4 linked regions of the Schizosaccharomyces pombe genome follow. The gene in region 1 interacts genetically with each later gene. Each region holds a gene or a part of one and is shown in the gene's direction. Other genes may lie near its edges. The genes, in order: gyp1, SPOM_SPBC17A3.06, rqt2 and cdr2.

Region 1 (5,048 bases):
TTAATAACTCTATTTTAACGATGTATAGGATTCGTTCTGACAGCTTCATTTTTATTCCAGCAAAGCGAAGCAAAACGGATCATTCGCTTCGTGCCAAAACAATGTTGTTTTATGGATTAAAAGATGATCTTCTTAAAGCAGCCATGGCTAAGCATTCATAATACGTGATAGATCATGTTATAGACTTCATCTTTGTAGATCATATAAATGCTTAAGTGTTGAGTCAATGACACATAGACTGTACTTGTCTATTTAATTTGTCTAACGTATTACATTCATAAAAAGCGCGTAAACGTGTTGAGTCTTATAGAAGTTGTTATGACTAGCAATTCAAGAACAAGTCTGATTCATAACATTATTTAACATTTCTTTATTCCATTTCATTTTATTCTTTCTCTATGTTAAAATTCTTGACTTTGCAATATAAACAGACAAATATGCACCAAGTAGCTTGTACAAATAGCTCCTAAACGATCTTTGAATGCATGAAGATAATATTCTATATACCAAGGATTTGAATACTTCACGATCTTACTGTATGAATATATAAACAATAAATAGAAAATTTCTAGTGAATCGACAGTACTCTGACTGATTATTAATTTTTTCTTTAAAATGTTTAAATATTCTACTTTAAACGTCTACGGCCATACCTAGGCGAAAACACCAGTTCCCGTCCGATCACTGCAGTTAAGCGTCTGAGGGCCTCGTTAGTACTATGGTTGGAGACAACATGGGAATCCGGGGTGCTGTAGGCTTCCTTTTATTCTTTTTGCTTTTTGTTTGAGCTCATTTGGGAATAATAATCATTTACCTTGATTCGTACTTATTCATTTCAATACCTTTGCACATAATATTATTGTGTACTATGAATGATATTTTGGCAACCAGGAAATCTTCTTACAAGTCGTAATACGACTTAAAGGGAAGATGTATGGTTTATTTTATTGTCATACAGTAACCTTTATTATTGGATTGGAGTTGTAGTTTCGATTTCATCACAATGAATAACGATACTCTAGAGTGTTTTCCAAGATGTAAACGAGAGAAGGAAAGTGTTTTTTGGATGATTATTAAACTTACTATAATTTTTGATTGTTCTCAATATAAAATTTATCTTAGTACATATTTATTTTGTTCTCATGTCAGTTTTGGAGAACATACATTACAATTTCTTGACAAGACAACATTTGGAAAATTGCTCTGTTCATTAAAACATTGAAAACCGTATATGTTTTTTAAATCATTCCTCTTCAATGCATTTGTTGAAGTAATTTTACTGAATCAAAGATATAAATACATGTTTGAAAACAAATACCCGAAACTGCTAAAAAAAAGACTGGGATTGAAAGTTAGACTAGATTCGTTGATCATCTACTTGAAAAATGTGTTTTGTTAGAAATATATAGGAACAGGAAAATCTTAGACTGTATTTCAGGAAAATTTAAACTTAGTAGGTATTAAAATGCTTATAATTCATCGTATTATATTAGGTAACTAGGATGTCAATACGAAAAATAACAATAAAATCAGAGATTCATTATTGACAGGAAATACTTTTTTACGTTTCTTAATCAACGTTTATACTTTTCTCTTTTTTGTTTTGAAAAGCGACTAGTCACAATTGTCAAAATTACATTGTTCACTTTTACTGGCAGCAACTTAAGTAAAGAAGAGATAGAACTCATAGATATAAACATTGTTAAATGAGACCTAGCTGTGTATCTTTTACTACTCTGCGCATATAAACCCAACATTCCCAAGCAATAAGACCATGCACGGCCAAAATCCTTCTATCAACTGTTCATGGCTTAAAACGAATTTCCTTTAACTAAAAAGTGAGATAAATAATTAAAGTATTAAACCTTGCTCCTTTTATTAAAAAAACCTCATATATAAGAAACTCCATACACCTACTGTTTTCCTCCCTATTGTTTTGTTCTTCCACCAAATAAGGGCAACTGCCTTGGCAACTGCACAGACCGAGTAAATCTTCACAATTTCGTTGATATTCGGTTAAAATTTGTAAATATACTAGTGTATTGGATTGTATCTAAGGTTTTCTCGAAACATTTGTTCGTGTTCAAATTCCGCGCTGTTCTAATAGATCACAAGATCTCGAGCTGGTGCGTTTTCGTTTGGATGGAACCCACAGACACGGCTTTGCTTCTAATAGCTTAAGTTTTTTTTTTTTGAAAATAGTTTTCATTTGATAAGAAAAGAATAAGACTTCAAGTCCGGTAAGTCTATGAGTGGTGCCTAAGATCCTTCGTCGTTAAACATTTGAAGTTATTGCCTTCTAAAACGTTTCATCTACTTTTTACAGCAAATTTTGAAACTGTTTTTTGCATCTTAACCAAAAGTATTTTATTTTGGCGATAAATTCAAAGAGTATCTGTTATTTGCTAAATTTGTTGTGTCCATCAAGGCTATCAAATTACTGCTTCATTTTGTAAAAACAATTTTTCTTCTCGTATTTTAAGATTTTCCACTATGGAATCTCAGTCAAAAAAGTCGTCCGCCTTAAAAACTCTCTCCAGCTTATGGAATGGATCCTCTAGCGCCACTTCGGATCCAGTTACTGTTTTGGATCGAAGCCGGACCCATCACCATCGTGGTCGAAGCACTTCTTCCAAAGCTCAACCGTTCAGATTGGACGACTCTGTTTACTCAGATCAACCCCCAAAAGATCATATCTCTTTGGCCCGGTCCATAACTAGACCCGAATCTGCTAGTGAGTCTAAAATCTATGCACCTTCTGCGAGATCTTCTCTTTCCTTGGAAGCTGTTGTAGGCAAAAAAGTGTCTGCAAAGTTTGCCAAATATTTGTCACAGACAGATGACGATTGGGGAGTTTCGAATATTAAAGCCTCAAAATCTCTTCCTCGTATGGCTCGAAGTACTACTCCAAATTCTTCAAGCCGCTCCTTATTTCCTCAAAATGGCGTGGATACTACCACTTCTAGACAAAAGCTTCATTCGTCTGGTCGTTTTCCTTTACCCGCTAAACTAGCCCATCGTTCTGTAGAAGTTGAGGTTGCTGAAAGCAATGCGCTTGTCTCTCGGATCAAGAAGTTTTCGCGAATTCTTGATGCTCCAATTGTGGATTTAAATGCGCTTCGTACATTGGCTTGGAATGGAATTCCCTCCGAACATAGACCTATTGTCTGGAAATACTTGTTAGGATATTTACCTTGTAATGCTTCTCGTCGTGAAGTCACTTTAAAGCGAAAGAGAGACGAATATAACGCAGCAAAAGATTCCTGCTTTAATACAAATACAGAGCCACCACCTTTGGATCAAACTATTTGGCGACAAATTGTCCTTGACGTTCCGAGGACGAACCCCTCTATTCTTCTTTACCAAAACCCATTGACGCAGCGTATGCTTGAGCGTATTTTATATGTTTGGGCCTCACGGCACCCAGCCAGCGGATATGTACAAGGCATCAGCGATTTAGTTACTCCTTTTATTCAGGTGTTTTTGTCCGAATATATCGGCGATAAGGACCCAATGACATATGACATTGCTCTTCTTGATGAAACTAATCGTAATGATATTGAGGCTGATGCTTACTGGTGTCTTTCTAAATTGTTAGATGGTATCCAAGATAACTATATACATGCACAGCCTGGAATCCGTCGACAGGTGAATAATCTGCGAGAGCTTACTTTACGTATAGATGAGCCATTAGTAAAACATCTTCAAATGGAGGGTGTTGATTTCCTTCAGTTTAGTTTTCGCTGGATGAACTGTCTTTTAATGCGCGAGCTTAGTATTTCGAATATCATTCGGATGTGGGATACATACATGGCGGAAGGTGTCCAAGGATTTTCTGAGTTTCACCTCTACGTATGTGCTGCATTTTTAGTGAAATGGTCGAGTGAATTACAAAAGATGGAATTTCAGGATATATTAATTTTTCTGCAGTCTATTCCGACAAAAGATTGGAGCACAAAGGATATCGAAATTTTACTATCTGAAGCTTTCCTATGGAAATCATTGTACAGTGGAGCTGGTGCACATTTGAAAAGGTAAGGCATAGTAGCCATTTCGTTTTCCCTTTTCAGAGCATTCGTCTTCTTCCTTAATCCCTTGCTTATTTTGGCATAGCAGCCTTTTTCAAATGCCATCCTTCCTATGCATTTTTATAATTAGGTTGACAAATCTCCTTCGTTAATTCATTGTGTTGCTTTTCTATGTTTATGAGCTTATGAGTCTAAGTCTTACTTCTTCTAATAAATTTTCCTTTCATTCACCTAAATAACTTTTCAAGTTTGCTCCTTAACTCAGCTGGATTGAGTTTGCGACTTTTAGAATTTATCATGCAGGATAAAGTATTTCTCTTGAAGAAAGTCTGAACTACCTTAATCATTTTTGGGAAGTTATTAACCCTTGAATTAAATTGTATATTCACTATTACTTATATGTAATTTGTCTTTACTCTTACGTTCGACCGTTCTCTAACCCTTTTCCAGTTTGACTTACGTTACTACTTTACTATTCAACGATTGTTTAGTCCATGGCGTGATACTTTACATGAATCGTTATTAATATCATTTTTTTTTCTCTTCTATGCTAGTCATGTTTTCTTTGGTTTTATCCAAGATTGTACATTACGATTTCAAAGTACGACTTTTGTATTGGTAAGAGATGATGAAAATCGACAAGACTGTACTACATGGTCTGTGTCTTCTTCCTTGATTCGACCAAAATGTATGGATGAATTAGAGTAGATAATGAAAACGCTGTGACAATTTTTGAATATTTATACAACTTAATACAGTTTTTGAACTGAAATAAAGAAGCACGTTCCATTGCGTTATAGAATCATTGTATTACTTTTCATGAAGAAGAAATCATTTATTTATAACTATAGGATCAATTTCTTATCTTTTAAATTTCAATACTCATAGCTTTTTCATGCTGATTTTGCAACTGCTTACCACAACAGCATTTGCAGTGACTGTTTTTCAAACTATATTTACTATATAAGGGAGACTTTGCCTATTACCTCTACGTCTGGCTTAGGAGCGCAAATTAAGCGA
Region 2 (3,375 bases), 630 kb from region 1:
GATACGCGTAAAGAATATTAGTTTTGTTCCAAAAACCCAATTAAAATTTTTATGAAAGTAAACAACACGAGAATAGGTATAGATGTGAATTAAAGAAAATGAAACAAAACAAAGGACAAGGAAGTATGTCTCAAAGACTATTGCTTAAAAATAATAACTGTTTGAATAAGTTCGATAGCCAAGGCGGTTTAATTCTTCGCAATTAGGTAAACGCAATTCTTTAGCCTTCTTCAGTGCCTCTTTATCAGGAAAGAACCATCCTTGAGCTCTTCGAATTTCGTCTTCTTTAATTTGTTGCTCGCGCAAACAAGCATTATGGACGTTTTGAGTATACGTATGCTCGACTTTTTCGTTGAGTCTTCTTATATCTCTTGAACTTAGCTTATCCAAATCCTTTTGGCTCATATAGTATGGAATGTTATGCTTGGCAGTAGTACGAGGAACAGTGTATTTATAGTTTTGTTGAAATGAATAGCGCGTATTAACCGACGTACTATCTGACCAACTAAAGTTGGACAAAAAGGCAAAAAGGATTACCACTATCAAAGGTAGCAACTGATAAAATATGCTCTTTGGGGGCATGTCCTGGGCCTGCTGACGACGTGCAAAATTCCTTGGACGGCCGCCAAACTGATGAACTCGAATGCCAGGTCCACCACCGAAGAAAAATGTTCCTGGACCTGAAAAGAACTGGTCACCAAAGAAAGAATTGAACAAATCTTCGGGAGACATATTCGCTTGAGGATAAGCAGAAAATCCAGGATGGCCTCCTGCGTTACTACTAAAAGAGCTGCTCGCAGCAGAGGCGCGAGATTCAGGATCCATTCCTGTACGGTCGTAGTGTGCTCGTAGATTAGGGTCTGATAAAACCTGAAAGGCTTTTGAAACCACTATAAAAAAGTTAGGATACAAAAAAAAACCTTAAAAATTATTAGCTAAAAAATGAAGACGTACTTTTAAATGCTTCGTCAGCACTAGGTGCGTGATTTTTGTCTGGATGGAGCTGTAATGCTAATTTTTTATAAGACTTTTTGATTTCTGTATCAGTGCAGGTTTTCTTTAAATCCAATATTTCATAGTACTGGTGATTTTTGTACTTTATGATTTTCTGGACCAACAAATGTTGTTCGCTTGTCCACTTCTGTTTCTTTTCACCAGCAGAGCTATTCCCATTTTCCCGCACCGACTGTTTTTCAGAAAAAAAGTTACTCTTGTTTTCTTGCTTAGGAGTTGCCTGAGGATTTGGAGAACCTGTAAGCTTTTGCTTTTCTATTTGTTTCACAAAATCTTCGCCCTCAGTGGTAGCATGAATTCGCAAAGATTTATTAGCAAATTTTAAAGCCTTATCATATTCTCCGGCATTTAAATACTTTCTTGCAAGTCCAATGCATCTACACGTAACATGTGTTAGTAATAAAATCTCACGCAATCCTCATTATTCGTACCTAAGGGCTTCTTCTCTACTAGATTCCATTTTGGTGATATGAAAGAAGGAAATTAAGTCCAAGTTTGATGAGAGAACCAAAGTTTCAAGTGCCTTCAATCTCTGCCAACTTTGTACTTGGATGGATCGATGCTACCAGAAACCCTTTAAACCAAGTAACATATCGAAGGTCAAGTGGCTTAAGTAACATGCACTTTTGAATCAATCCAAACACCAAAAACAGGAATAAAAGGGAAAACTAATTGATATATTTAAAATAATTCAAAAAGAGCATTTTTTGGTTTTGGTTGTTTGCCAAGCGAAATAATTAGAGTAATTGGAAAAGTTAAGTGTTTTTCATGTTTTTATGTTTCTTTCGGTTTCAAAGTGGTAAATCAGAAACTTAATAATAGAATGAGCAACAAAAGTGCATGGCAACCTCAGTTTGATGAAATTCACTCATCCGTTCAAGAAGCAGAAGGGTTTTTACAGTCTAGCAACGATGTACAGAAAGCTATAGACGAGGTGCATTATCCTGACAGCCTCAATGACTTGTCGGAAATATCAAAAAATTTGTATATTAGTAGTTGGAAAACGGCGTCAGAGCTAGTGTCTACTTCAGACAAAGGGATCGATTATACATTAAGCGCTATGAGTATTAATCCCAATTTGTCGGTTCCTGAACAACAACACCTTTGGTTGCAAATTGAAGACTCTAGTTCTCAAAATATTCTGCAATACTTCGAAAAGTCAAATAAATTCATCGCTTTTGCACTATCTAAAAATGCCAAAGTTTTGGTTCACTGCTTTGCGGGCATATCAAGGTCCGTAACCTTAGTGGCTGCATACTTGATGAAGGAAAACAATTGGAATACTGAGGAAGCACTCTCCCATATTAATGAAAGGCGCTCTGGAATATCTCCTAATGCTAATTTTCTTCGTCAACTTCGCGTATACTTTGAGTGTAATTACCAACTTGATCGAAGTTTGCGCCCATACCGCCAATGGCTGTTCAGAAGATATGGTGATTTCGCGGTGTTGAATACTAGGGTACCATCTGAAGTCGCTTACGCTGAGACTGTCCGTGCCCGTGCAGGACAATTAGAGCTTCGCTGTAAAAAATGTCGGTTTGTCCTTGCCAGCTCTGATTATCTGGTATCGCATGAACCGAAAGATGAAAATAATTATTCTCATACAAGATGTACTCATTACTTTTTGGAACCTATTCGCTGGATGCAGCCAGAATTGGAGTTGGGAAATTTGGAAGGTCGATTTGATTGTCCAAAATGCAATTCTAAAATTGGTTCTTATAAATGGCAAGGTTTACAATGCAGTTGTCTTCAATGGGTTTGTCCAGCTTTAAGTATTTTACAGTCGCGTGTAGACGCTGTTAGGAAACTCGGTTGATTTTTTTTTCTGCGTGTGTGAATCATCCACTTGCTTCAAAGTTAATGTATATTAGGAAGATCGCTCTAGGTTTTCAAATCATCTATGTTTATTACAAAAAAATGGTTTATCTTAAAACATTGGTTGCTTTTCCAGAGTTGTCGATGAGATCTTGTAATTAAAGTACTAACCAGTTCTGAATACTTATTTTTTAATAAAAACTCTATACTATCATTGGCCTGAGAAAAGTATTTCCATCTGTTCAATGGCAAAGTCTAAGGAATTCTTCTAATCTAATTATCACTTTATGGAGGTATTGCTTACTTTTGAAGATGACTAATATTGCCATAAAATTTCCTAATATTATCATAACGAATTCATGGTAAAGACGTCTTACCCTTACCTTCCGTTGGTTTATAACAGTATTCAACTTCTTCATTACCTATATACACGAAGTATTAAAACTAGAATGGCACCTATTTCAAAGGTCTTTGATTACCTGGTAATTGGTGGTGGAAGTGGTAAGTACAATTCGATACTTTCGGGATTTGATGGGTTAACATTTA
Region 3 (7,911 bases), 3.0 Mb from region 1:
GATGCAAAGGACACCGCTCTTCAACCATGTATTTTGTATCGAGATAAATAATTGAATATGAAATTCTACCTATATGCTTAATAAAATCAAAAATTGCCTCGCATAAACAAAAAAAAACTCGGTGATTAAATACACCGAATCACTTGGTTAGCCGCAAGGCAATATGAAGTGGATTGTAATGTGTTTGTTTACTAATCCATTACACCAATTTTCTTGCACACATTCACATGCAGCACAATAAGGAAAATCATTTTGTAGAGGATGCAAAGCAATTCCAAGAAAAAGCAAAACTCTATCAAGGAAACTACTATACACTGGATGGAGAATTAATCACCATAATACCTAGCTCGAAGGAGGGCTTTCGATCATGCAAATCGCTTTATTATAAGAAGAAGCAACCTATACCGGGAAGGTAATAAAATATAGATGCAGCTGCATCTGCAGCATATTGATGGCGTGCTTGCACATACTCCTCAACCCTTCAAACTTTTACTTCAATAAACGAAGGGTACCAAACCACTACCTTTCTTGAACTATTTTATCAAAGAAATGCATAATAGCATTAACGAATAATGAAAATTACTACCAAACCATTTTGCTTGCCAACAACAATTGAGTTTGTGTAACTTGATATATACTAGAAGATAAATCTAAACTATAGAAAAATCTGTAACGAAAAAAGCCCGATAGTTTTCTCGCTCCAACAAACTCAATAATTTTACAATCTTTAAAAAAATCTCCTTTACAAGTTTATAAAGTGAACCATTCATGCTATGAGCATCAACGAAGAGTGTGTATGCTCATTGAAACATGCTAGACTTTTTCAACAAGTAATCTACTCTATAACATAAAAGCAATCCGGAATGCAAACAACGTGTCATGAAAAGATCAGATTAAAGATAATGATAGAAGAACAATTTCATGGACTCTAGGAACAGGCGCAGAAAAATTAACAAGGTTTTGATATTCAATCGATAATTGCAGCAAACAAAATGCAAGAATACCAACTTGAAAAAATATGATATAATTTGGGCATTGGGAAGAAAGGAAAACCAAACAAATGAATTTATAAAATAATTAAGCTATTATACAGCAAGAATTTTGCTTTTTAGCAGATTTATAAAACATTCGAGACTGTGTAGATAAGTTATCACTACGTTGGATCAAGTCGTCCAACTTCTCTCCTCTAGCTAAGACACTCTCGATTGTTTTATGAAGTACATCTTTAGTTTCATCCAATTCTTGTTGCACTCGCATAATCGTATCAGCCTGCTTGGGGTCTTGATATTTTGATAGATAGGTATCCAATTCTGGAAAGGATAGGGTAACAGCACCAGATTCCCATTTGGTGCGAGGATTTTTTGTCAAAAATTCGTCTAGAATCTTATTTAGAAGAGTATAAGCAACACGTAAAGGGTATTCCTTGTCACTAGCAATCACACCGCACAACCCATCCGATCGGTTGTACACATGAAAAACGTAATTGGACTGTTCAACGTCTTGTCTTTGCCCTGGATTAGTACGTTCTGCAACAGTCTTTGTAAAAAAATTCATGAACTCTCCGATGCTGAAATATTTGTTAACAAACTACTCTTCAATTAAATCTTGCACATACGATGATCGTTGAAAAAATGAGAAACTAGATAAGTCTGAGGCAGTGCATAATAATTGCACTGGTTTTGGGTCAAAGCGGAGTATAGAGACAGAATACAGCTTCATTCTGTAAATATGCTGTAAATCAAGTTAATGGTGTGGGTTAAGTTTGTTTCTGCTTTGGTTGAAAACGCCATACTTCTTGCAATCGTATGTACACACATAATACCTTCGACTACGGTATTTTTCTATTACACAAATAATAGGTAGTGGCCATTTGTTTACAAACCATCCCCTACACTACTAGCAGTGCTAAATTGGGTAGTATATTGGATACAATCCTATAAAAGCAATAAAAATTCAAATTTTTTCTGTTTAAGGAGGTTTTAATTTCAACGATCTATCCTTTTACAGTTTTCATGGAAGTTGAGTTAAATTATGTAGTGAATCACTTAGAAAAGCTAGGTCCTGCTAGTTTTTGTGATACTCCATATAGCTTTTCGCTGAGTGATTCGAATGCTGAGCTAGGTGCTTTATCGTTAAAAGTTGACGAAATTTTGAAAACAAATTATAATTTAATCAATCCCGAGGACGTTACTGACTCCGACAATAATGAATTTGCTCTTAAAGATTTAACTTGGCTGCAAAATTGCTGCAATGAAATTTCTCAATCTTCAAGTACTGAACTTGATGCTTCAGTACTATTTGAAGCAGTCATTATGAGCCTAAAAGCGACTGAAGATCAATGTGCCATTCAAGAAGATTTACTGAATCTTGTTGGACTTGATCATATTGACTTGATTTCAGATATCGTCGCTAATTCGTCCAATTTAATAGAAGAATACATGAATCAAAATGATACTTCAATTGCTGCGCAACTTTCTGATGGCTATACCTCTGAAGCTGGTTCTTCTGCTACGCATGGTCAGGGATTATTAGACAGTTTAAAAAGTAGGCCGAGAAGATTTAGTCGGTCTCGTGATAACAGAGGTCCTTTATTTACTGGACAGCAAGTTTTTGAAGTGGAAAAATATCCTCATGTGTATGGGGATAAAAGGCTTGGTAATACTATTAGCGTCATTGGGAAAAAGTTTGCATTACCGGCTGGTAGTGAAAGAGAAGATTACCAGAAATATGAAGAGATTATTGTTCCTCATGCTCAGCGTGCTCCACAAATGCAAGGGGAAAAGTTGTTAGAAATTTCTTCGATGGATATTCTTTGTCGAAAAACATTCCTTAGCTACCAAACTTTGAACAGAATCCAATCGCTTGTCTATCCTATCGCCTACAAGACAAACGAGAATATGTTAATTTGTGCACCTACAGGTGCAGGAAAAACTGATGTTGCTCTGCTCGCAATGTTGCAAACAATCTCCAACTATGTAGAAAGTATGAATCTTATGGATGAATCGGAACCTCTAGATGTTCATAGAGATGATTTTAAGATTGTCTACATTGCTCCTATGAAGGCATTGGCTGCTGAGGTTGTAGAGAAAATGGGAAAACGTCTCGCTTGGTTGGGATTGAAAACTAGAGAACTTACTGGTGATATGCAACTAACCAAAACGGAAATAGCAGAAACTCAGATACTTGTTACAACACCTGAAAAATGGGACGTAGTTACTAGAAAAAGCGTCGGCGACACTCAGTTAGCCGAGAAAGTACGTTTGGTTATCATTGATGAAGTACATATGCTTCATGATGAACGTGGTGCTGTTATTGAATCACTTGTCGCTAGGACACAAAGGCTGGTAGAAACAAGTCAACAGATGATTAGAATTGTTGGTCTTTCTGCCACACTTCCAAACTACCTTGATGTAGCTGATTTTTTAGGCGTCAATAGGTACAAGGGATTGTTTTATTTTTCATCTGCATTTCGTCCATGCCCTATTGAACAGCATTTCATCGGTGCTAAAGGTTCTCCTAAAATAGTAAACTCAAATATTGATGAAGCTTGTTTTGATAAAGTTTTGAAACTGATTCAGGAAGGCCATCAGGTAATGATATTTGTACATTCTAGGAAGGAAACCATTAATTCAGCTAAGAAGTTGAGGGAACAATTTTTCCATGAGGGAGAGGCTGATTTGTTGGACAACTCACAACATGAAAAATATAGTCTAGCTCAAAGAGATGTTTCAAAGTCAAAAAACAAAGAGTTAAAAGAACTTTTCAAATACAGTATGGGGATTCACAACGCTGGCATGTTACGATCGGACCGACATCTTACTGAACGTTTGTTTTCTATGGGTATTCTTAAAATTTTATGCTGTACTGCTACCCTAGCATGGGGTGTTAATTTACCGGCTTATGCTGTATTAATTAAAGGAACTCAGCTTTATGATCCACAAAAGGGTTCTTTTGTAGATCTTGGCGTGTTGGACGTTTTACAAATATTCGGTCGTGCTGGTCGTCCTCAGTTTGAAAGTTCGGCAGTCGCGTACATAATTACGACACATGATAAACTTTCTCATTACATCTCCGTTGTAACACAACAAAGCCCTATTGAATCTCGTTTCACCGATAGATTGGTTGACAACTTAAACGCTGAAGTTTCTTTAGGAACGGTAACTAATATTGACGAAGCTGTATCGTGGTTAGGTTATACTTATCTTTATATCAGGATGAGACGTAATCCACTTGTATACGGTATTGCTTATGACGAACTTGTTGAGGATCCTTTACTAGGCAGCAAGCGAAGAGAATTGGTATCTGTAGCGGCAGGAAGGCTGGCAGATAATCAAATGATCGTTTACAATAAGAAAAACGGATACCTGATTCCTAAAGATTTAGGTAGAATCGCGTCCAATTACTATATCAATTATCAAACTGTCTCAACATTAAATAATTTATTGAAAAGCAAAATGTCGGAAGCAGACATTATAGCTCTTTTGAGCCAATGCAGCGAGTTTTCCCAAATCAAATCGAGAGAAAATGAGCATCGTGAGCTTGAATCACTAATGGAAAACAGTAGTCCTTGTCAGTTGAGGGATAGTATTTCGAATACATCAGGAAAAGTTAACGTTATTCTGCAGTCATACATTTCTCGTGCGCATGTAGAAGATTTTACCCTAACATCAGATACAAATTATGTTGCACAAAACGCGGGTCGAATAACTAGGGCTCTTTTCGAAATTGCAATGTCAAGGACTTGGGCCTCGGCATTTACTATCCTTAGCTTAAACAAGTCAATTGATAGGAGGCAGTGGTCTTTTGAACACCCCTTACTTCAGTTTGATCTTCCACATGACCTTGCAGTCAAAGTGGAAAATCAGTGTGGGTCTTTATCATTAGAAGAATTGTCGGACATGTCTACAGGAGAACTTGGTGATCTTATTCATAACCGAAAAATGGGCCCTACAGTTAAAAAATTTATTTCCAAATTACCTCTTTTAAACATTAATGTTGATTTGCTACCTTTAACGAAAAACGTTTTGCGACTTGTATTAAATATCACTCCCAATTTTAATTGGGACATGAGATATCATGGAAACAGTCAAATGTTTTGGATATTTGTTGAAGATAGTAACGGTCTTGAGATTCTTCATCATGAACAGTTGCTCCTAAATAAACGGAACGTTAGCACTTCTCATTTACTATCCTTTACCATACCTGTGTCTAATCCATTACCCTCACAACTATACATTATTGCAGTATCAGATAAATGGCTAGGCGCTGAAACAGTTACCCCGGTTTCTCTTTCTAATGTTGTTTTTCATGACGATTCCAATCCCATTACAGAATTATTGGATCTTCAACCTTTACCAATTACGGCTTTGCACGATCCAGTGCTAGAAGGTATATGCGCTAAAAGATTCTCGTTTTTTAATGCAGTCCAAACTCAATTTTTTCACACTATTTATCACACCGATACAAATATTTTCGTTGGTGCACCTACTGGATCTGGTAAAACTATGGCCGCAGAATTAGCTACTTGGAGAGCTCTTCACAATTATCCTAAGTCGAAAGTAGTTTATATTGCTCCAATGAAAGCTTTAGTCAAGGAAAGAGTAAAGGACTGGGGACACAGGTTAGTTGAACCAATGGGGATTAGTATGATTGAATTAACTGGTGATACTAACCCGGATGTTAAGGCTGTTACGAATGCAAATATCATAATTACAACACCGGAAAAATGGGATGGTATTACTAGAAGTTGGAAATCTAGGAAGTATGTTCAGGATGTCTCATTAATTATCCTTGACGAAATCCATTTATTAGGTAGCGATCGAGGTCCTGTCCTTGAAATGATTGTCTCCCGAATGAATTATGTTGCTTCTCAAACTAATAAGAAAGTTAGAGTTCTTGGTTTATCTACTGCTGTTGCTAACGCTAACGATCTTGCAAATTGGCTTAACATAAGAGATGGTCTATTTAATTTTAGGCATTCCGTGCGCCCAGTTCCTTTAGAAATATATATCGATGGATTCCCTGGTAGAGCCTATTGCCCAAGGATGATGTCGATGAATAAGCCTGCTTTTCAAGCCATCAAAACGCACTCTCCTACCCAACCTGTTTTAATTTTTGTTTCGTCGCGCCGTCAAACTAGATTAACTGCAAAAGATTTGATAGCTTTTTGTGGTTTAGAAGACAATCCTAGGAGATTTTTGTACATGGATGAAGAAGAATTAGAAATGATTGTTTCAGAAGTTGAAGATAAAAGCCTCAAGTTGGCTTTACCATTTGGTATAGCACTTCACCATGCTGGTTTGACTGAAAATGATAGAAAAATTTCCGAAGAGCTTTTTGTAAATAATAAAGTTCAGATTCTCATCGCCACCAGCACTCTTGCATGGGGTGTAAATACGCCGGCACATTTGGTAATTGTGAAAGGAACAGAGTATTACGATGCTAAAATTGGAGGCTATAAAGACATGGATTTGACGGATGTGCTTCAAATGTTAGGGCGTGCAGGACGACCACAATTTGACAATTCTGGTGTGGCACGTATATTTGTACAGGATATTAAGAAGTCGTTTTATAAGCACTTTCTACATAGTGGATTTCCAGTAGAGTCTTATTTACATAAAGTATTGGATAACCATTTAAATGCCGAGATTGCTACGGGCACTATAGATTGCATACAGGGTGCAATGGATTTTTTAACGTGCACTTACTTCTATCGAAGAGTTCATCAAAATCCCGTTTATTACGGTGCTGATGGAGATGACCAAAAGAGTATAGATACTTATTTATCGAAACTTGTTGTGACTGCATTTAATGAACTTGAAAAGTCAGCTTGCATATATCGTGTCAACGAAGAAACCTATGCACCTACAACTTTGGGTCGTATAGTTAGTTACTATTATCTTTTTCATACCACCATCAGAAACTTCGTTCAAAAAATAACTGAGAACGCTGAGTTCGATCTTGCGTTGCAATTGCTTGCTGAAGCATCTGAGTTTGACGATCTCGCTATTCGTCACAACGAAGATTTGATAAACATAGAGATTAATAAATCTCTGAAATATTCGGCTGCTTGCCTAAACCTTCCTATGGTCGATGCTCATGTTAAGGCATTTATATTAACTCAAGCTCACATGGCAAGATTGAAACTTCCAGTGGATGATTATGTTACTGATACTAGCACGGTTTTAGATCAGGTTATTCGTATTATACAGTCTTATATTGATGTGTCCGCTGAGCTAGGCTACTCCCATGTCTGTTTACAGTACATATCTCTAATGCAGTGTCTTAAACAGGCTTGCTATCCGAGTGAGATTTACAGAGCTTCATTACCTGGACTTAATGCGTCTAGTGAAAAGGAAGCAAGAGATTATCTCAACAAATTTGCAGGAAATAAAACTGATGAGTTATATCAAATGCTATGTAATGACCCTAACGTTTTTGATATAGAAAGTCTGGTCAATAGTTTAATTTCGTATCCTAAAATGAACATTGAAGTTTCTCAATCGTCTTCAGATAAGCTACTCCTTTATCTACGACGCCTCAATCAGCCGCTCAACCCCGATTTTTACATTTTTGCGCCGTTGTTCCCTAAACCTCAAAGTGAGGGATTTTTCGTTCTCATCATAGATTCAGAAACTCAAGAACTGTTCGCGATACGTCGGGCCTCATTTGCTGGGCGAAGAAACGATGATTCAATTCGTTTATCCCTTCGGATTTCAATGGATATTCCACCAACTTGCCGCAACAGAAATGTAAAAGTCATGGTTGTTTGTGATGGATACCCATTAATTTACGAACATAAAATTGTATTGATGATTTAATGAAGCTTTTGTAGAAAAATAGAAGGCTTTAAGCCAATTTCCTTATTATATTTAAGTCTGTTTAATAAAAATTAATTAACAAATCTATAGA
Region 4 (5,463 bases), on another chromosome or scaffold:
TTAGTTGGTGAATGTTGTGCTCACGCGACTGCACGTTATGATTCCACCGATCCTAATGTTGCCTCATTTGGCAGCGTCGCACAATATTGGGTCTCTTTGTTTTCTAATGTTCAATCTTCTCTAGATGATCTTTTTTCCATTGCCTGTTTAACGAAGATAGCACATCGCAGAATGAATGCTAATGCTGCTTTGAAGAATCAGGCTACGAGGAAGCCCTCCTCTTCTCCTCAAACAACTCAAGACTCATCACCTATTCTTACGATGGCACCTTCTACTCCAGTATCTGTTGGCAGTACCCCTCCATCCACTCCATCTGTTTTACCCATTGCCAAACAACTGGCTCCTATGAATGTCTGTAAAGCACATATTCAGGCTTCAAATCAGTCCCGCACTTTGACTACTGCTTCGCCACCCGAACAAATACCGCTTATGGAACCGCAAGTTTATGTAAATCCTCAAGTATTACCGGGTCGGTTGTCAAGCCTTTCTAAGCCAGTTAGTCTACCACCAACTCCTTCTTCACCAAAGGTTGGAGTATATCGGCCAATGACTTCTAAGTCCAATGGAGGTGTTGCTTACTGCTATAATGCTCAAAAATTGAACAATGCTACTGGTCCAGTTACATTTAATATGCCTTTTGCAAGCGTCTTACCACTTGCCGTATCTGTGAGTTGTGATCTGGGTACAGCGTCTGCATATGTCGCGTCCCTCCCTCAACCTTGTTCTCAAAAAAGGCATTTAGAAGAAGACTACTCATGTTTAACGGAACACAGTGCTAAGCGTCGCAGTTACTTTTAATTATCAAGCCCAATCTGCGCTGTCTTCGCCGCTTCTTTCAAAAACTATAATATTTAATGAATAATTTCATAATACTGATGCCATTTTAACAGCGGATGTCAATAAATACCGATAATGTTTTCTTTCTATTGATTTATCTATTCAAATTGTGTGGAAGATAATCATGATATGGGAAACTTGATTAGGTTTATATTACTACCTTCTTTTCATATCTAGACTTGTCAATGTTTTGATTAAAAATCAAATATTGTTGTCGTTTCTATGAATCTTTTTTTAACATTCTAATAGCAAAACGATGTATATATGGTATGAATGAATTAACGATTGGCAACTATATTTACTTATGCATCTTGTAAATTGATATCAGTAGAGCAAGGTATTCAAAAAAGATAATTTTGTTGATTTCTTATGGCCATAAACTTGTCAAATAGTCAAACTATTTAGAGATTATGTATGTGCTCATTAAGATAGTTATATATTTTAGGCAGGTGAATGTAGCCATTTGAAATCTACTACTGAGCTCCAATCCTATTTGAAGGCTCTAAGAGTCCTTTCAATCATTTTTTAACAGAGTTGTCTAAGTAATATTTTTTCAACGATTAAACTGTGAAACATTGAACTAAAATATCTTGATCATTTACAAAAGCAGTAATTGCTACACCGTACTACTAGTAGAGCCAATTTTGATTACGGTCTTTAAAACAATGTTGAATACACTAATTGTAAGCGATTTTTGTAAAAACTAATAATTATACGTATCTTCTTGAACATCACGAAAATTAACTGATATTTCCCTAAAGTACAGTTGCAAGTAGGAAGGATTAAGACAAAACAACAAATTATATACTAAAAATTTTACAAATGTTAAAATCAATTTCACATATATATTTTGTTGTAATTAAATGCACTCAAATACTATAGCTTACAAGTTTAGGGAGCATTACGGAGAACATCCCACATATGCTGTTCTATGAATGGGGTTTGGATTTGGCCATCACCACTTCACCGATTTACTGGTTCTTTTGAATAGTTGAAGTGTATGAGTACAATTTCAGAAGTTGGACCTTGGGAGCTTGGTCTTTCCTTAGGATCAGGAGGACCAAATTCATCACGTTTAGCCAAACATCGTGAAACTGGGCAATTAGCCGTAGTAAAACCGATTGTAGGATGGTCCGAGCTTACTTCGAGCCAACAGGCTAGGATAGAGGGTGAATTAGTTTTGCTTCGATTGATCGAGCATCCTAATGTTTTGCAGCTCATAGATGTGATTTCAGCCCAGGAGCAACTCTTTGTCGTAGTCGAATATATGCCAGGTGGTGAGCTTTTTGACTGCATGCTTCGTAAAGGAAGTTTTACTGAGCAAGATACGGCAAAGTTTCTATGGCAGATTTTGTGTGGATTGGAGTATTGTCATAAACTTCATATCTGCCACCGGGATTTAAAGCCAGAGAACTTATACTTGGATGCCCATGGTTCTATCAAAATCGGTGAATTCGGTATGGCGTCTATTCAACAGCCAGGAAAGCTTTTGCAGACTTCCTGCGGGTCTCCCCATTACGCATCCCCAGAAATTATTATGGGGCGTTCATATGATGGTTGTGCTAGCGATATTTGGTCATGTGGAATTATATTTTTTGCTTTGTTAACAGGGAAATTACCGTTTGATGATGACAACATTCGTTCTTTGTTGCTAAAAGTCTGTCAGGGTCAATTTGAAATGCCATCAAATATCTCTCCTCAAGCCCAACATCTGTTGTACCGCATGCTTGATGTTGATTCATCTACTCGAATTACCATGGAACAAATTCGTGAACACCCGTTTCTTAGTTGCTTTGTTCATCCCAATATTTCTATTCCAATCATATCAGCCCCTATACAACCCATTGATCCATTAATAGTGCAGCATCTCTCTTTAGTTTTCAGATGTTCCGATGATCCTATGCCCTTGTATGAAAAATTGGCATCTCAATCACCCTTGGTTGAAAAAACTCTATATACTCTACTGAGCAGACACTTGCATCCGCCTTCCAGCGCTGCAGTTGATCGCAACCGCGCTGTGGTCGATGATCTCCTTGGTACAGCAGCATCCAACGGGCAGCAAATGGACGAGGAAGAAATTGAACAAGCTATCAATATTCCTACTTTAGCGCCTTATCCAATTTCTTATGCTGCAGAGTCTGTTCCTCGACCTGCTACTTCTGCATCGCCATTTCTTACACCTGTTACCACTTCTGGCACTTTTAATTACTCTTTTAATGCTACCAACCCCCAATCCATACTTCAACGACCAGCCACTACATCTTCTGCTGTTCCTCAACTCCCAAAATCAGTTACCCCAGGACTTGCATATCCCCACGATAGTTCAATGCTGTCATCAAATTACCGACCTCCTTCTGCATTATCTCCTCGCAACTTTAACGTTTCTATAAACGATCCGGAAGTTCAACTAAGTCGTCGCGCTACTTCACTGGATATGTCAAATGATTTTCGTATGAATGAGAATGACCCTAGTATTGTTGGTAATTTAGCAGCTTCCAATTTCCCGACAGGTATGGGACCTCCAAGAAAGCGTGTCACTTCTAGAATGTCCGAACACACTGGTAATCGAGTCGTAAGCTTCCCGCGCGGCAGTGCTTTTAATCCAAGAGTTACTCGCTTCAACGTAGGAAATGAACAATTCTCTAATAATATTGATAATAATAACTATAATCAACCATACGCAAATGCAACCATGAACAACTCTCGTCGTCTTCGTACCCCTAGTGGGGAGAGATCAATGCGTGCTGATCTCTCTCAATCACCAGCCTCTTATGATTCGTTGAATGTTCCCAAACATAGAAGAAGACAATCGTTATTCTCTCCTTCTTCTACAAAGAAAAAGCTTTCCGGCTCACCTTTTCAACCAAAACGATCATTTTTAAGGAGATTATTTAGTAGTGAGCCTTCTTGTAAATGCGTCTATGCCAGCTTGGTTGCTTCAGAATTGGAACATGAAATTTTAGAAGTTCTTAGAAGATGGCAGCTTCTTGGTATCGGCATTGCTGATATTATATATGATTCTGTGAGTGCTTCGATATCTGCTCGTATTAAACGACAAAATTCACTTAATCTTAAACCGGTTCGGTTTAGAATATCGGTACTGGCTGAGTTTTTTGGTTCACAAGCTGTCTTTGTGTTGGAAAGCGGTTCTTCTACAACTTTTGACCATTTGGCTACAGAATTCCAGCTGATTTTTGAAGATAAGGGGTTTTTGGATAATTTGGAACTCTCTTATTTTCAAGCTTCGGCATCCAGACCTGTTTCTCGAATGAGTGTAAGTAGTAGTCCTTTTGCTGTATTTCGTCAACGACAATCCGTCCAAAGTTAAATTCTTTTATTATTATTATTATCATTTTTTTTTGATTCTCCAAAACCTTTGCAAACTTCATTTTTCTCGTGATGCTTTGGAAAAAAAAGGATTATCAAAAAAGCTAATCGTTTGATAATTGAACATAATGTATACTCGTGGAAGTATTGGAACTTTTTGAATTAAGCTTTCATTTTGTCCCATATTGGAACTCTTTTTATACACCAACAATATCTTTATAGACCTCCATTCTTTTTCTGATGTTTTTCTTTTACTTGTTCAACTTGCTATATGGAACCACGGTTATCCGGGAAGCAATAAATGCATTTAATGATTAAATTATATTTTGCTGCTCTGCTACAATGTTTCTCTTGGAACCTGTTGAGTTTTGTACATGTGATGTTGTACTTGGAACTTACTCCAATGATAATAACTTGCATGTCTGAAGCAAGGTAATTTTTGTATTTAGTATGACCGGCTATTGCTGGCATCTTTTTTGAAATACATTTTTCTTATTTAATTTAGGTATAAAATTTTTTATCTTAATCAATCTTTTCTTTTGGCTTTCTAACTCTTCGTTCTAAATCACAATCTTTTTAGTCTCGTTTATTTCAATCGATTTGACTTTTTCTTCATCTTATTTATCACAATCAACTAGCACTAGCGGATACAATTTCAATGAACTGCAGCATAGGTCGTATTATGTTTAGAAATTTATGACCCTTCTGCTTGTTCTGTATAAATTAAATTTATTCCAATTAAGTATTTGGTCGCTCAATGCTAATTAGTATGATATTAAATTTGAGTGGAATTCAATATGTAACCTGCTTACTTCGATAGTTGAAGAAATACATTTGAAGTTGTAGGATATCTAGGTTATCTGCATTGTACAAAGAGTCTGTTTTTTTGGAATGAAGTACGTGACATATTATTAAGCACTTTTAAAATTGTCTGTGCAATTGCCTTTTCAGTATTTTTAGCGAGGTTGCAACTTCAACTTATTACTTGAACAAGCAGCGAAAAACTGCAAGAAAATCGTGTAAAAACTAGTAAATACCATGGCTAATGTAGAGTTACAAACAAGTTTGGTAAGATCTTTTCCAAGCTCAAGCATTTAACATTTTTTAGGGAAAAATTCTTATTGAATTGTATACAGAACATGCTCCTAAAGTACGCATCAAGAATAAAGGACGAACAGTGTTGTTTGCTTTGAAAGTAGAATCGCTAACTTATAGACATGTCAAAATTTCTATACTTTAGCAAAAGAAGGATACTATGATGGTGTTATTGTAAGTTTTTTTCGCACTGTTTGCATCGTG

What was found.
Region 2: mutations in gyp1 (region 1) and SPOM_SPBC17A3.06 together harm fitness more than expected from each alone (negative genetic interaction), as found in Schizosaccharomyces pombe (one large-scale study listed by BioGRID).
Region 3: mutations in gyp1 (region 1) and rqt2 together harm fitness more than expected from each alone (negative genetic interaction), as found in Schizosaccharomyces pombe (one large-scale study listed by BioGRID).
Region 4: mutations in gyp1 (region 1) and cdr2 together harm fitness more than expected from each alone (negative genetic interaction), as found in Schizosaccharomyces pombe (one large-scale study listed by BioGRID).

The regions. Positions count from the first base shown.
Region 1 is NC_003423.3:782,620-787,667, forward strand, and holds gyp1 (GTPase-activating protein Gyp1), read left to right. Parts: upstream 1-1,946; 5' UTR 1,947-2,493; coding exon 2,494-4,038; 3' UTR 4,039-4,526; downstream 4,527-5,048. UniProt on the Schizosaccharomyces pombe protein: Stimulates specifically the GTPase activity of ypt1. Functions on the Golgi as a negative regulator of ypt1.
Region 2 is NC_003423.3:1,411,218-1,414,592, forward strand, and holds SPOM_SPBC17A3.06 (phosphoprotein phosphatase), read left to right. Parts: upstream 1-1,647; 5' UTR 1,648-1,837; coding exon 1,838-2,830; downstream 2,831-3,375. Other genes in the region: SPOM_SPBC17A3.05C (J domain-containing protein), read right to left, coding at 145-890, 955-1,391, 1,446-1,474; mitochondrial glutathione reductase Pgr1, read left to right, coding at 3,279-3,330. UniProt on the Schizosaccharomyces pombe protein: May be directly involved in signal transduction and/or cell cycle regulation. It is necessary for maintaining growth rate or spore germination. Could show both activity toward tyrosine-protein phosphate as well as with serine-protein phosphate.
Region 3 is NC_003423.3:3,743,977-3,751,887, reverse strand, and holds the start of rqt2 (ATP-dependent RNA helicase), read left to right. Parts: upstream 1-1,878; 5' UTR 1,879-2,012; coding exon 2,013-7,820; 3' UTR 7,821-7,911. Other genes in the region: protein smp2, read left to right, coding at 228-416; SNARE protein Ykt6, read right to left, coding at 1,078-1,567, 1,616-1,719.
Region 4 is NC_003424.3:1,363,009-1,368,471, forward strand, and holds cdr2 (serine/threonine protein kinase Cdr2), read left to right. Parts: upstream 1-1,787; 5' UTR 1,788-1,837; coding exon 1,838-4,165; 3' UTR 4,166-4,960; downstream 4,961-5,463. Other genes in the region: cyclin Pas1, read left to right, coding at 1-798; cyclophilin family peptidyl-prolyl cis-trans isomerase Cyp1, read left to right, coding at 5,203-5,232, 5,273-5,314, 5,380-5,433. UniProt on the Schizosaccharomyces pombe protein: Acts as a mitotic inducer. In G2 it negatively regulates wee1, a mitotic inhibitor. Also has a role in cytokinesis where it required for proper septum formation.